2 linked regions of the Pelodiscus sinensis genome follow. The protein of the gene in region 1 purifies or fractionates together with the protein of each later gene. This does not show direct contact. Links are inferred from orthologs where the notes say so. Each region holds a gene or a part of one and is shown on either strand. Other genes may lie near its edges.

Region 1 (8,408 bases):
ACAACATTCAAACCCTCTAACCTGCAGAGATATCCATGTTCCTGTACGGTAAGTAATTATCAACCTGTGGCCCACTCAGCACACAGCTGTGATCTATGCAACATCCTCAGTGCTACACAGGCATTATATAGGTTGGACCTCCCTAGTCTGACACTAATGAGGGGTGTCCACCTACCCAGCTGCATTGCAGGCCCTAGCCAGGCTTGCTGCCTGCGGCCACAGGTCGACTGCTAATCCCAGTTTTCCAGTCAGGCAGCTGGCTCCAGATCCAGCTCTGCAACCAGCACTCTAGCTGCAGACTGGGATCCGACCGCTGTGTCCGCCACTCACCAGTGTCCCAGCCTCCCCACTGGCTCTCTGGTCCAGGGGCTGTATCGTCCAGCAACAGATGTTGCCGGACCAGTCAGTCACATTCCACAGAGATTCAGTCTGTATATATTGTGCAGATTTGGCCCATGTTATGCATAGAATGCTGCACAGCAACTCTCAGTGGTGAACAGGTTGAGAACTACTGTGGTACATAGCACATCCCTGGATCTCATGCTAAACATAATAAAGTAAAGAAAGAATCACAGAAAGACTTCAAAAAAAGGCAGTTGACAAACAGAAAAAGTGGCTGAGACTTGCAAATGTAAATATAATTGAAGGAAGGAATGAAACATAACCTCAACTCACCAAAGTTAATGTACGTGACTACTTTGAAACCAAAGGATCAATTAATTAGACTACTGACAGATTTAAAGTTAGGCATGGATTTAAGATGAATTAGAACCTAGAAGAATACAAAAATGTAGATCTGCATCCACCAAGATCAACCCACAATCTGCTAGTCATCTTTTATCTCTATCTGCATCTACACCATCAAGCCATCTCACAAAGACTAACAACTGGGGAAGTGGAAGGGGGAGAGGGGAATGATCTTTCAGGCAAGAGATAGCACAGAATATGTAGCATGAGGGTTGGAACTGGAGATAAATGGTAGTGTGGTGTCAGGGTCCGTGTTCCCTGTCACCTATGTGCTTGTGTGGCCACTCCAGAGAAATTCAAATGCTGCCCAGCTCATTAGCAGAGCTCCCAGTTAGTTTTGGTGTTTCTATTGGTGATGCACATTAGGAATTTTAAAATAAGTTTATTTTCGTAAACAGCAGTTACACGTTTACATGCAGGGGAGCAGATAGGAGCCAGTGCTCTTGGGATTCCGGCTTTTAAGATTGCTCCCCACAAACACTGGCTCCCGTCTGCTCTGCACACACACACCTGTCATGCTGCTACCTCCATACCAGAAGCAGAAGCACAGGGGGACAGGCAACTGTGCAGGAGCTGGCTTGCTCAAGGACCCAGCTTAAAAGCTGGCTCCCCATAAGCACCAGCTCCCACCTTCCTCCCTGCCCACTATTTCCTCTGTGGGAGGCAGCAGTATGGGTGGAGGGGGGAGACATGCTCTGCGGGAGCTGGCACATGAGGGGAGCCGGTTTAAAAGGCAGCTCCCCATGGACACCGGCTCCCACCTCCTCACCGCCAGCTGACTCTGTGTGTAACTGTGAGGGTTAACCAATGAACCTAGGTTTACCAGTTAACCATGTACACGGGTACAGAGTACGATTTCTAATGCATTTTCACATATACATTGGTGTACATAAAAAAAATTATTCCACACACGGATGGAAAAAATCTGCACATGGAGCATAAAGATTAGAGGGAACATTGGTCAGGATCTCAAGGAAGATGGGTGGCAGAGGAGGAAAGGGCATCACATTGTGTGCTGCTCCTGAGGACTCACAAGTGACAGCACACAGCACCAACATAGTTGAATCACAGTGAGGTACCAGGGTACCACCAGCTCCAATCCCCATGGCTGGGGGAAGGACCTGTTTACCAAGAGTTGGCAGGCTGAATGCAGGACTGGGAGCACAGCCACTGTAACCATGCCTCTAATACAAAGAGTACGTCTACACTGCAACACTATTTTGAAATAACTAGTGCTATTCCAAAATAACTTAGTCCGTGTCTACACAGCAGGCAGTTATTTCAAAATAGTGTCAAAATACCGTCAAGCTGGAGAACTTCTTACTGCGACTCCTGTAATCCTCATTGCACGAGGAATAAGGGAAGTCAGAGGAAGAGTAAGTACTCCATTATGAAATAAGAGCAGGGTAGATGCTCCCTATTTCGAAATAAGATACGCAATTGATGTAGCTCAATTTGCATAGCTTATGTCGAGTTAAGCCCTGCTGTGTAGATGCACCCAAAGGCAGCAGCACATACCTCTGATACACAGGCAGCAACCAGCATCCCAGGAGCCAACGTGCACTGGGAGCCAGCTTTTAAATTGGTTCCCAACATGTACCAGCTGCCACCTCGCATTGCAGGCTGTGATACAGAGCCCATAGCTGACTCCCCGCAAGCAGGGCAGGATCCCATGTGTAATCATTCATGGTGGGTTTATCAGGTAATCATGTAAACCAGGGGTTCCCAACCTGGGTTATGCGTACCCCTAGGGGATATGACAAGCTTGTCAAGAGGGTACGGGGACTATTTGGTAAATAACTAATTTATCCTAATGGAAATATTCCAGAAGTAGCAGTGTTAGTGAAAAAATTTGCAGATTCTAGAGACTAGAATTTATTTCCTTTCATATTGACTAGGGGGTACTGGAAGGTTTACTAAAAGCCAAGCGGGTACGGGGACCGAAAAAGGTTAGGAACCCCTGATGTAAACGGTTATCCTGTTTCATCCCTAAAGAGAACTGAGGCATTAAACCAGCTTGAAAAGGGAAAAAGCAGCGAGACGCCACTTAGCAAAGAGAGAGGCGCCCCAGTCCCAAGAGACAGGCGGTGCCTGTAACTCCCCTCCCCACACCCTGCCCTAGGGAGCCCGCTGTCCCCCCGCTGCAAGCAAGCGGTCCGGTTCGCCGACGGAGCTGGGGATAGGACTCCTCAGCGCTTCCCCCCAGCGCCAAGCCAGACGCGATACCCGGACGCGGCGCGGTGCCTCCCCTCGGCCAATGGCCCCGCCAGCGGCGGCGGCTGGAAGAGGAGCGAGGAAGCGGCGGCCGCCCCGCGCCGAGCACCCCGGCCCCGCTCACCTGCCACCGGCTGCCCCCTCCTGGGGCAGCGCAGCCAGCGCGGCGGGATCTTGTTGTAGGACATGGCGGCGCCTCCTGCTGCCCAGCAGGGCTCGCGCTAACGCCGGGCCGGGCGGCTGCGGACGCGGCTCCTCCCCAGTCAGCGGCTCCGGCAGCCCCTTCCCCGCGGCAGCTTCATTCAGACCCAACTCCACAGCAACCGCCTCTCCCCACAATGCACCGCGACGCGGAAGCGCCACTTCCGCTTCCGGGGCTCTCTGCTCGCCAGGGCCGAACGGCGGAGAGACGTTGCTTGGGCGACGACGTTTAACGTCAGCCCCCCCCCCCCGGGCCTGGCTCGGGAGTCCGGGTTTGGACGGGAAACCCAGTCGCCGCCCGCGTGGGGAGGGTGAGGAGGGAGCCCGGGGACCAAACCCCCGCGCCCACCTGCTGCCCCGCACTTAGCTTGGAAGCGCCGCGCGGCCGGGGGCAGGACTTCATGACCCCTGGGGTCTCTTCCAGCGCTATGGTTCCATGAGCGCCTGGGTGGCGGGCGCTCGCACAAAGCAGCCTGGGCCGTGCCTGGGACTCCTGCGGCTACTAGAACAAGGGGGGGAGGGTACAAGGAAATAATTGAACAGCACTTTAGCGAGGAGGGGAAAAAACTAGAGTGACTGGACAATAAGTGTGAAAACTTGGGATGCTTTTATCTTTGGGCGAGAGGTACTAGTCGCCAGGCTATACAAGAAAACGGCTCCAATGTGAGCTCATCTTGTCACTCTGAAAAACACACACACACACACTCTCTCATAAGCTGTGACCTTAGTCCTTCCTTCAGATTCATGTATGGAGGAGCTTCTGTATCCACCACATCCTATGAAAGTCAATTTGGCTGCATAGGAGCCAAAGCAAGACTGGCAACTAAATTATTATGTATTATTTGTAGCACCATAGCACCGAAGAGCCTCACCATGGCCTTGAACCGTGTTGCACTGGGTGTTGAACAAACAAGATAAAAAGATGGTCTCTGCCCCAAAGAGTTTACAATCCAAGTACAAGATAAGACATCAGATGGCTATCAACAGACCAGCGGGAGCACAAGCCAACAATGGTCAACATGATAGTGGTCTCAATCCAAGAACAGCCAAATCATTTGTCAAGGTTTTCTTTTCTTTTTTAAGAAGCATGGCAAAGGGGAGTTTTGAGGAGGAATTTGGAGGTGGATAATGAGATAGCTTTGTAAAGAGTGATGGAGAGTGTCCCTAAAGTACCTGGGACTGATGAGAGAAAACAGGTGGAAAGTGGAGGCTGGCCTAATTGGCCAGTTGGCTGCAAGCAAGTAGAGTTTGATAGGAAGAGGGATTGATTGACTGTGAAGGGATTTCAAAGTATACACAAGCATTTTGGATTCACAAAGAGAAGTGATAAGATAAAAGCAATAACTTGAGAAAGTGAATACAAGCAGTTTACCTTTGATGTGTGTGAGAGAAGAAAATGCCTGTGGAGACATTCAAAAAGAGGGGTGACAAGGTCAAAACAATGAGCTAAGAAAGTCATCTTTGTACCAACATTCTGAATGGATATGCACAGGGCAAGACTGCATTTGTCAAGGCCAAAGAGAATGATATTGTATTAACCGGGGGTAATAAATTATGAGAGCTTGAATGAGAGTTTTAGCTGTACAAATGAATAAAAATGTCATATCTTAGATCAGTGGTCTCCAACATTTTGGGGCTGCTGGGCGCCCGGGGGCAGGGCCGCACATGTGCGGCACGGCCAGGGGTGGGGCTGCGCACAAGCCACGCAGCCGGGGCCATGTCTGGGGTGGGCCACACATGGGCCATACGGCCAGGGGCGGGTCTGCCCATATGCTGTGCGGCCGGTGGCGGGGCCGCGCATGCACCGCGCGGGCAGGGGCGGAGCCACTCATGCACCGCGTGCCCCGGGAAGGAGGGGGGCCACGCATGTGCCGAGCACTCAGGCCCAGGGCGTAAGAATGGCTTGGGTCGGCCCTGGTCACTTGGCAGGTGCACATAAACGCCCCGGCGGGCGCCATAGCACCCGCAGGCACCACGTTGGGGACCACTGCCTTAGATGTTACAAAGAAAGAATTGGCAAGATTTTTTACATATAGCCCTGCAAGTGAGAAATTACAGAGAGGTCCAAGTTGCAGATGACACCCTGTATCAATATTTGGACACCGGGAAATAAGCAGTTTCAATTAAAACAGCTAATTACATTTTTGCTGGTTTATTTTCTGATTGAATATTCTAAGATTATTGGCTAGATACCAACACACATAGCTTGGTTAAACTTAATACACTATTACCAGGTTCAACCATTCATTTGGAGGTAACATTTCATTTATTTTCTGAAACTTTTCAGCACATATGCACTATTTTCTATACTGTACTGAAACTAAAATTCCATTTGTTCCTAAGCTGAATGTGCAACAGGCAGACACTAGATGGTGCCAAAAGACCACGTGGAAAAAAATGAAATCTGAGTGCACGAAGTCCTAATCAAGATGAGAAAAGAAGCAAAAAAACAATCACAGAATGCCAGATTCTGATTTCAGCAAGATTATTCACAGAGTAAACTGAGCAAGGGTGACAGAAATAGGTCCAAAATTACATACACTGCTGCAACATAGTGTAGTACAAACTAGGGATGTGACCGACTAATCGACTGTCCCATAAGCAAATGCTTATCGGATAGTTGACACACTAGTCCACTAGTCTCTTCCCCCTTCCCTTGCTGCTTCTATCAAAAAAAGGCAGCAAGGTGTAGGGAAGAAAAGGGAGTGCTTCAAAGTGGCAGTGCCGCATAGAGCCTGGGGCCAGACCCTGGGCTCCATGTGGTGCTGCCACTTTGAAACACCATGGGGAGCGGAGGGCTAGCGGGATATTGCTTGAGTCCCCCACTAGTCCCATGTTCTCTGCAGCACTTTCACCGTTGGAGTGTAGCAACAACTCAGGGGCTGTTGCTACACTTCAACAGCAGGGTGCCCTTATCAACTCATTGAATAGTTGATGCAAATTGCATCAACTGTTCGATTAGCCAATAAATCTAAATTTAACTTCCCTAGTACAAACAGGTTATGCTCTCTTTGTGCCTGGAACTGTGATGATAATATGACATCTGTCTCTATGCTACTACATATAATTTTAAAATTTAAAAAACAAAAATGTATGACTAACAAATTAAGAAATAATAAGACAAAATTGTTATTTTGTTATATTATGATAGAATCTAGAACCCTTGTTCAGGATCAGGACCCACCTTAGAAACTGATTACTCCCACCTCTTTAACTTACCTATCTGGTTCAGAAACACTAATAATTGGCATTTAATAAAATCCTATATAGAATTTGATAAATTCCATAGTTATCTATTTTTGCTCAAATTAATGATTACATTATTTAATAATTAGTTTGGGATTGGAGCCTCATTATGCAAGGCAATGGGCATACATATATTAAAAGGATAGTTGCTGTCCCAAAGAATTTTTAATCAGTACTTTAATGTGATGAACTCCATCACATCAGTAAGAAGTCAATCCATTTATTCACAACTCTATGAAATAATATTTCCTTAAATCAGAGAGCCCCAAACTGTTGGGTGCACCTCCACCCCAGGGCATCTATAATACCAGGAGGAACATTTGGGACACACAGGCTACGTCTACACTGGCCCCTTTTCCGGAAGGGGCATGTAAATTTCAGCAGTCGTCGTAGGGAAATCCGCGGGGGATTTAAATATCCCCCGCGGCATTTAAATAAAAATGTCCGCCGCTTTTTTCCGGCTTTTAAAAAAGCCGGAAAAGAGCGTCTAGACTGGCCCCGATCCTCCGGAAAAAGTGCCCTTTTCCGGAGGCTCTTATTCCTTTGAAGTAGGAATAAGAGCCTCCGGAAAAGGGCACTTTTTCCGGAGGATCGGGGCCAGTCTAGACGCTCTTTTCCGGCTTTTTTAAAAGCCGGAAAAAAGCGGCGGACATTTTTATTTAAATGCCGCGGGGGATATTTAAATCCCCCGCGGATTTCCCTACGACGACTAGTGAAATTTACATGCCCCTTCCGGAAAAGGGGCCAGTGTAGACGTAGCCACAGTGGGATCTGGGCCAGCCCCCAGGAAGGCAGGGAGAGATTGCCACCCAGCCATATCCTGCCCTCAGCTCTGCTTCAGTCCAGGCTCTCAGCTAAATTTGGAGTCCCAGCTACACGACCCCCTTTTTACTGTGTGGGTGGCATAGACTGCCTAAGTGTGCTAGAGGCTGGTCCTGGCAGAAACCACTAGACTTGGAGACTTCCTGGATTACGAATAGAGGGACTGGAGCTACGTCTAGACTGGCATGATTTTCCGCAAATGCTTTTAACAGAAAAGTTTTCCGTTAAAAGCATTTGAGGAAAAGAGCGTCTAGATTGGCGTGGACGCTTTTCCGCAAAAGCACTTTTTGTGGAAAAGTGTCCGTGCCAATCTAGATGCGGTTTTGCACAAGAAAGCCCTGATTGCTATTTTCGCGATCGGGACTTTTTTGCGCAAAATAAATCTGAGCTGTCTACACTGGCCCTTTTGCGCAAAAGCTTATGCATAAAAGGACTTTTGTCTGAACGGGAGCAGCATAGTATTTCCGCAAGCACTGATTTCTTACATGAGATCGTCAGTGTTCTTGCGGAAATTCAAGCGGCCAGTGTAGACAGCTGGCAAGTTTTTCCACAAAAGCAGCTGCTTTTGCAGAAAAACTTGCCAGTCTAGACACAGCCTGGGTGTATCCCTTGGCACATAGGCTCTCCACTCTTCAGACCTCCCTCTACATAGGAGATGGAGGAAGCCTGATCATGCAACTCTCAGATTTTTTTAGCAGGTTCTATGAGAAGGTGCCCCACCTACTCCAGACATCTGGCCCATCAGACTTTTACATTGGGCCTTTGCCCTGCAAGCTCCCCAGTCTCCCTCCTTTCAACAATCCAAATTGACTGCATGCCCTGCAGTCAGTTTGCTTCTGAACCATGCCTAGCAAACAATTCTATATGCTCATGCTACAAACATTTCATTTCCCTCTTCCTCATGTCCCACCCCAATACAAAGTGGCAGGACCTTTTACTACATGTGAAGGATGAGGTACCCTAGTGGGCCAGCCTATACTCTATCTTGGTCCCACAGCCACAGGGGATGTCAGTTGGCAGCTCCCTGCAGATGTGAGCACAGTCGTGTGCCTGGTGTGCTTCACTTACATCCCTACCAATGCCAGTCCATTTTACAGTGTGAGGGAGATCTTTCCCTATACTTACCTGGAATGCACAGGTTGCAGCCCCTTTTCCAGCCCTTTCAAAATCTCCTGTTA
Region 2 (8,261 bases), on another chromosome or scaffold:
CCAGACACACCACACGATCCATTGTTTACAGCCAAGCACTGAGGTACAACCGCATATGCTCCAACCCCTCAGACAGAGACCTACACCTACAAGATCTTCAACAAGCATTCTGTAAACTGCGATACCCACACGAGGAAGTGAGGAGACAGATTGACAGAGACAGACGTGTACCCAGTAGCCTCCTGCTACGGGACAAGCCCAAGAAAGAAACCAACAGAACACCACTGGCCATCACCTACAGTCCCCAGCTAAAACCTCTCCAACGCATCATTAGTGATTTACAACCCATCCTGGACAATGATCCCTCGCTTTCACAGGCCTTGGGAGGTAGGCCGGTCCTTGTCCACAGACAACCCACCAACCTGAAGCATATTCTCACCAGCAACTACACACCGCACCATAATAACTCGAACTCAGGAACCAATCCTTGCAACAAACCTCGGTGCCAACTCTGCCCACATATATACACCAGCAACACCATCACAGGACCTAACCAGATCAGCCATACTGTCACTAGTACGTTGTCCTGCACGTAATATGTGCCATCATATGCCAACAATGCCCCACTGCTCTATACATCAGCCAAACTGGACAGTCCCTACGTAAAAGAGTCAATGGACACAAATCTGATATTAGGAATGGCAACATACAAAAACCTGTAGGGGAACACTTCAATCTTCCTTGACACACAATTGCAGATCTAAAAGTAGCCATCCTACAGCAAAAAAACTTCAGGACCAGACTTCAAAGAGAAACTGCTGAGCTACAGTGATAGAGATGTAGCCGTGTTAGTCTGGGGTAGCTGAAGCAAAATGCAGGACAATGTAGCACTTTAAAGACTAACAAGATGGTTTATTAGATGATGAGCTTTCGTGGGCCAGACCCACTTCCTCAGATCAAATAGTGGAAGAAAGTAGTCACAACCATATATACCAAAGGATATAATTTAAAAAAATGAACACAAATGAAAAGGACAAATCAAATTTCAGAACAGAAGGGGAATGGGGGCGGGGAGAAGAAGGTAAATGTCTGTGAGCTAATGATATTAGAGGTGTGCTGCTGATCTGGAGGTATAAGTTGTTCTCAAACTGGAAATAATTGTGGGTGAGAACAAAGTTACATAGGTCTGCTATCAGATTGGCAGTGGTGTCCTCTGGGATAGTGTTTCTAATTGCTTGTAATCCGTCTTCATGTGGGATGTTGGTGTATAGAGCTTTTACGTCCATGATGGCAAGGATGGTGTTATCGGGGAGGTTATCGATGTTTTGTAGTTTAGTAAGTCAGTAGTATCTCAGAGATAGCTGGGGGCGGTGGTTGCGTAGAGCTTGAGAAGAGAATGTCTAGCCAACTACAAAAGCAGTTTCTCCTCTCTTAGGGTATGTCTACACTACAAAGTTAGTTCGAACTAACGGACATTAGTTCGAACTAACATTCATAGGCGATACACTAGCGCTCCGCTAGTTCGAATTTAAATCGAACTAGCAGAGCGCTTAGTTCGAACTAGGAAAACCTCATTTTACGAGGATTAAGCCTAGTTCGAACTTACTAGTTCGAATTAAGGGGTGTGTAGCCCCTTAATTCGAACTAGTGGGAGGCTAGCCCTCCCCAGCTTTCCCTGGTGGCCACTCTGGCCAACACCAGGGAAACTCGTCTGCCCCCCTCCCGGCCCCGGACCCCTTAAAGGGCACGGGCTGGCTATGGTGCCCGTGCCAGGTGCAAGCCTGCCAGCACCCAGCCAGCAGACCCTGCACCTGACACGGCACAGAGCCACCCACCCGATGTCCCCCAGCCCACCCCCTCTTCCCGGGACCAGGCTGGTGGCTCCCGGGAGCTTGCCCATGACCGCAAGAGGCGGGCACCTTCCTGGGCTAGTGCAGACATCGTGGACCTCATCCACGATCTCCGCACTAGGCACAGGAAAGTGGCCGGCTAGGGCAGGAGAGCTGCCAGCCTGGCCACCCAGGAGCAGGTGTGCATGAAAATCAAGGTGGTCCACTGAGACCCCCGACCCTGAGCCCTGAGCTTACGATGGCCGTACTGGGTCAGACCAAAGGTCCATCTAGCCCAGTAGCCTGTCTGCCGACAGCGGCCAACACTAGGGACCCTGGAGGGGATGGACCGAAGACAGTGACCAAGCCATTTGTCTCGTGCCATCCCTCTCAAGCCTTCCACAAACTTTGGGAAGGGACACCACTCCTACCCCCTGGCTAAGACTACTCCATGGACCCAACCTCCATGACTTGATCTCACTTCCCTTTAAACTCTGTTCTAGTTGTAGCCTTCACAGCCTCCTGCAGCAAGGAGTTCCACAGGTTAACTATTTGCTTTGTCAAGAACAACAACTTTCTCATACTAGTTTGAAGCCTGCTACCCATTCCTTTCCTTTGATGTCCTCTAGTCCTTCTTTATGGGAACTCAGGAAGAACTTTTCTGAATGCACCCTCTCCACCCAACCCCTGCTTTTAGAGACCTCTATCCTGTCCCCCCTCCATCTCCTCTTTTCTAAGCTGAACAGTCCCAGTCTCTGTAGCCTCTCTTCATCTGGGACCTGTTCCCAACCCCTGATCATGTTAGTTGCCCTCCCCTCTCCCAGCCTTTCTCTTCCCCTCTCCCACCTCCTTTTCCCAGTCTCCCCCAGTTTTGTTCAATAAAGACAGAGTCAATGTTGGAAGAAACATTATCTTTATTTTGTACATCAGGAAGGGGGGCTAGGGAAGGGTAAGTGGAAGGAGGTGAGGGAGGAATGGGGTACGAGCCCCCGATGGGGAGGACTGGGCTGGCTCTGCGGGCTTCTGGGGGTGGAAGCTCTCCTGCAGCCCCCCAATTGCTCCCTCTCCCCAGATGGCAGCCTGCGGCAAGTGCAGCCGGTCTGATGGCCGAGTGCTGTGATGTGCCCAGTGTGGGCACTCCGGGCACTCCAAGCCAGGACTGGTTTTCAAGCGGGGATCTCCTGAGAACTGTCTGTCCGGTGTGGGGGTCGGGTCCTTTTAAGCGCAGCCCTCGGCTAGCCTGAGACAGCATCTCCACGCCTCTGATGCCCTGCTGGCACTGTTCAGGGTCCACTCAATGTGGACATGCTAGTTCGAATTAGCAAAACACTAATTCGAACTAGTTTTTAGTTCTAGACGCGTTAGTTCGAATTAGCTTAGTTCGAATTAACTAATTCGAATTAAGTTAGTTCGAACTAACTCTGTAGTGTAGACATACCCTTAGTGTTTACACCTCCAAATCAGCTGCCAGAAGTGGGTCTCATCCTGCCTGACTGAATTTACCTTGTTATCTCTAGCCTTACTCTTGATTGGTACTCTTTTCTTATGCTTGTATATTTATACCTGCCTCTGGAATTTCCACTACATGCATCTGATGATGTGGGTCTTTGCCCACGAAAGCTTATGCGCCGTCTCCAGCTTTCTCGCCCCGGAGCTCACAGGCAGCGATCAACCACCTCTACCTCCGGGGCGAGAAAAGCTGCTCCCGGTGCCCCTGGTCTGCTGGAGACCGTCTCCAGCAGACCAGGGGCACCGTGAGTGAAGCCGCAGCAGCGGCGGGTTCCCGCGCTTCTGAGGCTTTGCCAGCGCTGCCTGTGAGCTCTGGGGCGAGAAAGCCCCGTTCGTAAGTGCGGATCCGACGTAAGTTGGGGACTGCCTGTATTGCCACCCTAGCTTCTAGGCTGTTGCATGCAAAGCTTGGTCTCAGTCAACAGCTACCACTCTCTGCCCAGCTCTGAAGGCCACAGTGTGGAAGGGTGGCAAAACATACCATACCAAGCCACCCTTACTTATGGGCTGCTGCTGGTGAGCTGCTGCTTTCGGAGCTGGGTGCCCAGCCCATAACAGGCACTTTCCTGCCTCCCAGTTCTCATAGCAGTGCAGAAGTAATTGCAGCAATACTCCCCAACTCACCACCCCCCAAAAAACCCTTGTGATACCCTGCAGCTCCCTTTTGGGTCAGGACCCCCGATTTGAGATATGCTGGTCTCCCACCTCTGAAATCTGTATAGTAGAGGGTAAAAGCACAAAAAAAGAGACCAGTTTTCAGCAAGGGAGACCAGATTTCATGGTCCATGATATATTTTTTATGGCTGTGAAGTTATTAGGACCTTAAATATAAGTTGTGAAATATTATTTGTAATGGTGTTTTGGCCCTCCTGCCTACTGTTCTTGTGGGATGCCAAAGGGCGCCACCCTTCAGCTCAAGGGTGAACTAGGGTTGCCACGTGTCCGGTTTTGAACCAGTATTTGAGCTTTCTGTCCAGGAAATAAATTAGGAAAATACCGGACATATAAATGTCTGGTATTTTCTAATTAAGTAAGTTTTATTATTATCATGAGTATCAGTTCGTAGTTGCATACTGCATGAGTATCAGTACTGTGTGAGCGTGTCTACCAACCAGGCAGTACGCAACTACACAGTAGAGAGGAGGGGGACAGGGCTGGAGCAGGATGGAATCCCAGGGGCCGGACTCGCCCATGTGCCCCACTGGGACAGTGCGCAGGACGGGCAGGACCCTGGGATCTGCGTGTGCCTGGGCCAGCCCCACTCCCTGCTGGCCGGTTCCCCCCAGGCCAGCCCTGCTCCCTCCAGTGTGAACTCAAATGTAGGGTATAGCTACTGCTCTCACACACCAATTGAAGGCACTATGAAGGGTGTGGATGGTGCCCTATTGCCCTGCAGGACTGCCCCAAAAGGTGTGGGGGTGGTGTGCAGTGATGGGCCTGCTGAGCAATGAGGTTTTGCTCTGGCACCCCAGGGTGCGGTGGGCTACTGTTCTTTTACACTGCATGATCATTGGGGTGCTACGCCCGTAGGGTTCTGCCTCCCAGCGTGCTGAGGGGTGCCGTGAGGTCTTGGGTGGGGTGCTGCCCTTGCCCCCCAGGCTGCAAGTGGTCACGTGGGGGTGCTGTGGGGTCCTAGGTAGGTCACTCCGTGGGGTGCACACAGTGTGTGACTGAGGAGATTGGGTGACAGGCACGCGCTGCTCCCCGGGAGTGACTAGCGGGTAGCCCCCCCCCCCCATCCGCTGTCTCCCACTCCCCCCCCCCCATAGTCCCATCCCTTCTCAGAGCCTGTGTCTGCTGTTGGCCCTTTAAATGCCAGATGGCGGCCCGTGCCGCCGCTGGCTGGGAGACCCCGCGCCTCTAGTGAGAGGTGAAACCAAGATGGCGGTCGCGCAGTGACTGAGGCGGAGACGGAGCCAGTGGGACACAGTCGGGCCTCGCCGCGCCTCAGCCAGGCCGCCAGCCAGCCCGGCCGGGGAGGGACCGCGCGTGCCGGCGCCCGCAGCGGAGCGGGCCGGCCTAACCGAGCGGGCCGAGGAGCCGGGGCTGAGCCGCAGCAGTAGCGGGAGCAGAAGGAAGAAGAATATGGCGGCGGAGCCGGGCTGGGAGTGAAGCTGCCGCCTGCGAGGGGAGCCCATGGGGGAGACTGGACGCTGAGCCCGGCCGCCTTCGCATCGCTCCCGGGACAGGCAGCGCCCGCTGGCCGCCCACGAGCCGCTCCTGAGGAAGGAGGGGCCGCGCCGCCTCTGCCCCTCTATTGACAAACTGCGAGGGGGCGTCGGGCCTGGGCAGCGCCCGCACAATAGAGCCGAGCGCCGGGCAGGGGGCGAACTGACCTCGCTCCCTCCCTCTGCCGCCGATCTGCCACCACCCTAGTCACCTCTGTTGATCTCGCTTCTTCCTGCCCCCTTTCCGTCCAGCGCACTGCCCTCTCGAGTCACCCCTCTCCTGCTGCCCCATCCCCAGCCACCCCTTCCCTCTGCTTTCCCCCACCCGCTTCATCTCCCTAGCCATCTTTCTCTGCCATCCTCTTTTACCTCATTCACCAGCTCTCCTCTGATATTTCTGTTCCCTCCCCACACTTGCCCTGTGGCCCGTTGCTTTACACCTGGCAATCGCCAGGCTTCCCCTCCTGAATAGCACCTCCTGGTCCTCTGTAACTGCTTCCCACCTACCACCCCCTTCCCCAGCACTCTGCCCTGCCTCCAAATAGTGAGCATGAGGAGGAGACTGCCCCAGCAGTGAAGAATAAGGAGCGATCCCGGGGTGTCTTTTTGGGACTGCTACTCTCTTTTCTGCGCCTCTCCTTTGAGGGGGGCCTAGCCCCCCACCAACCTCCTGTTCCTTTAGGTGTCACAGGCCAGGGTGGTGGCTGTGGTGTGACAGGCGGCAGGATGACCGACACCCGGCGGAGAGTGAAAGTTTACACGCTGAATGAAGACCGCCAGTGGGATGATCGAGGCACTGGACATGTGTCCTCTGGCTACGTGGAAAGGCTGAAGGGCATGTCCCTGCTTGTCAGGGCAGAGAGCGATGGTAAGTGGTGTGAGAACATGGCAAGTATTGTAATCTTTTTCCAATCCACCTACAAAAAAAGATAATGGCTTTATATATCTGCTTTGTGATTTTATCTGCATAATTTGTATGTGATTCTGAAATCGGGCAGTCAGCAGCTATCGTTAACTCTTGTTAGGCTATATGACAAGGTTGGAAGATTAAGACAACACACTCCCACTCCTCAGGTACACACTTGATGCATATTGGACACACTGACATAAAGCTGTATACCACATACAGGTAGTACACATTTCACACACTATATTGCACACCACTATCCCATTTCTCCCCCTCCCCAAGATTTTTTTTCCCTAAACACTAATTGGGATCTCTTGTTGAAATAATTGATAATCCCAAGATTAAAGAAACTATTCACAGTTTGGATTAAATGTGTTGAACATAAAATATTAAAATTATTTCATTGTTGTTTCTTGTCTATTCAGCTTTCTGTAGGTGGGTTGCAAATATATTTTTCACTCTTTAGAAGTGTATTAAAGAGTATTTTATAATGTGTAGATAGATACTCGCAGTTTTGATTTCAAGACAATACAAAGAACAAAACAACATTTTGAGGATATTTTTAAGCAGCTACTGTATTCTGCGCTCATGCTAAAACTGCCCTTAGAATTACCCCTGAAATAATAAATTCACTTAAAATAAAGCATATCACCTGTTTTTCTCTCACTCCAAGCATGTTTTGCTACATTTTGATAGGTTTGTGTATGAACTATCCTTGATTACTTGATCAGTGAGTTAATGATTACTGTAGATTAAACTTTGAAGTATAGCTGGCTTCATTTAACTCTGGTACCATGAATGTAGTCTGTCCTATCTCATTTAACCATATAGTTATGTACTGGGTGATGTTTTTCTGCCATTAGCTACTTCCTGGCTTTCTATCTTACATCTGGGGAGGGTGGGTCATTCTTGTAGATTGCTGTTTATATTTGATTGCTATCTCCCCTATGTTTATTTGGTTTTCCTTGTGCTGAAACTGAAGGATAGAAAACTTCATTGAGGTCAGTTACTTAGTCCAGTCATTGTAGAAGAGGAAGTGCATGTTTTCAGGAGTTATCAGGAAATCCTAAATTGATACAGTAAGAATCAAATGTAGTAAGTTGATTATCCAAAGCATGTTTAAATGCTAATTATATTGACTTAAGTCTTTTAAATTGCTAAATTATTATTAATAAATTATGAAAACTAACTATATAATTGATTTTTTACAAAGAAGTTGGAGACCTGTTCTCCCCATTCTCTTCTGCATGTCTTATTTCTTAGGTTAGATAAACTCGAGATGGCAGTGGACCTTTATTATTAAATTTAAGGGTGGTGGGGAGCCCAGTGAGAAGGAGGAACATCACCATTATAAACAGGTTTATGTTACAGTGGTATAATTCTAGCACTCACCATCACCACTGTAGCTTTCAGGAGCTAAATAAATTAATAAACTTCAACTGAAACTTCAAATGAAAGAACGATGTTAAAACACCAAATGCAGTAGTAGTAGTGTTTTAAAAATACAATGATCTAGATAGAATTTTTGAGCATAAAATGCTGCAGGTTGTAATCTGACTGTGAAGAAGCAGTCTGTTCAAAGGACACAGTCTTCCACTGGTTTCAGTTACATTTGCATATACAGATTTATTTCAGTAGTTTCATTGCTGTAAATGAGCTTGTATAAATCTATTAAAGAAAATGGAAGTATGAAGTATTGTAAGTGTTACTTTAATGTGTATCTAGGAGTTACTGAATTTTAAAGATTAGTTATCCATAACTTTAAAAAGCAAACCAGCATTTTTAAAAATGAATAACTGAATTAACATACAATAATTCCTATAGCTTTCATAAATCTTATACCATGTACAGTTTATACAATTATTAGTTAACAATCCTTTTAGAAACTTAGATGTTTTGATCACTGGG

Evidence for each region.
Region 2: the proteins of RNGTT (region 1) and PPP4R3A purify together in Homo sapiens (affinity purification with mass spectrometry; 3 studies listed by BioGRID and IntAct, with this or other methods). This does not show direct contact. The link is inferred for Pelodiscus sinensis from reciprocal best matches to the Homo sapiens genes RNGTT and PPP4R3A.

The regions. Positions count from the first base shown.
Region 1 is NC_134713.1:63,848,348-63,856,755, forward strand, and holds the start of RNGTT (mRNA-capping enzyme), read right to left. Parts: upstream 3,402-8,408; 5' UTR 3,150-3,401; coding exon 3,086-3,149; intron 1-3,085.
Region 2 is NC_134714.1:31,304,902-31,313,162, forward strand, and holds the start of PPP4R3A (serine/threonine-protein phosphatase 4 regulatory subunit 3A), read left to right. Parts: upstream 1-5,126; 5' UTR 5,127-6,172; coding exon 6,173-6,314; intron 6,315-8,261. UniProt on the Homo sapiens protein: Regulatory subunit of serine/threonine-protein phosphatase 4. May regulate the activity of PPP4C at centrosomal microtubule organizing centers.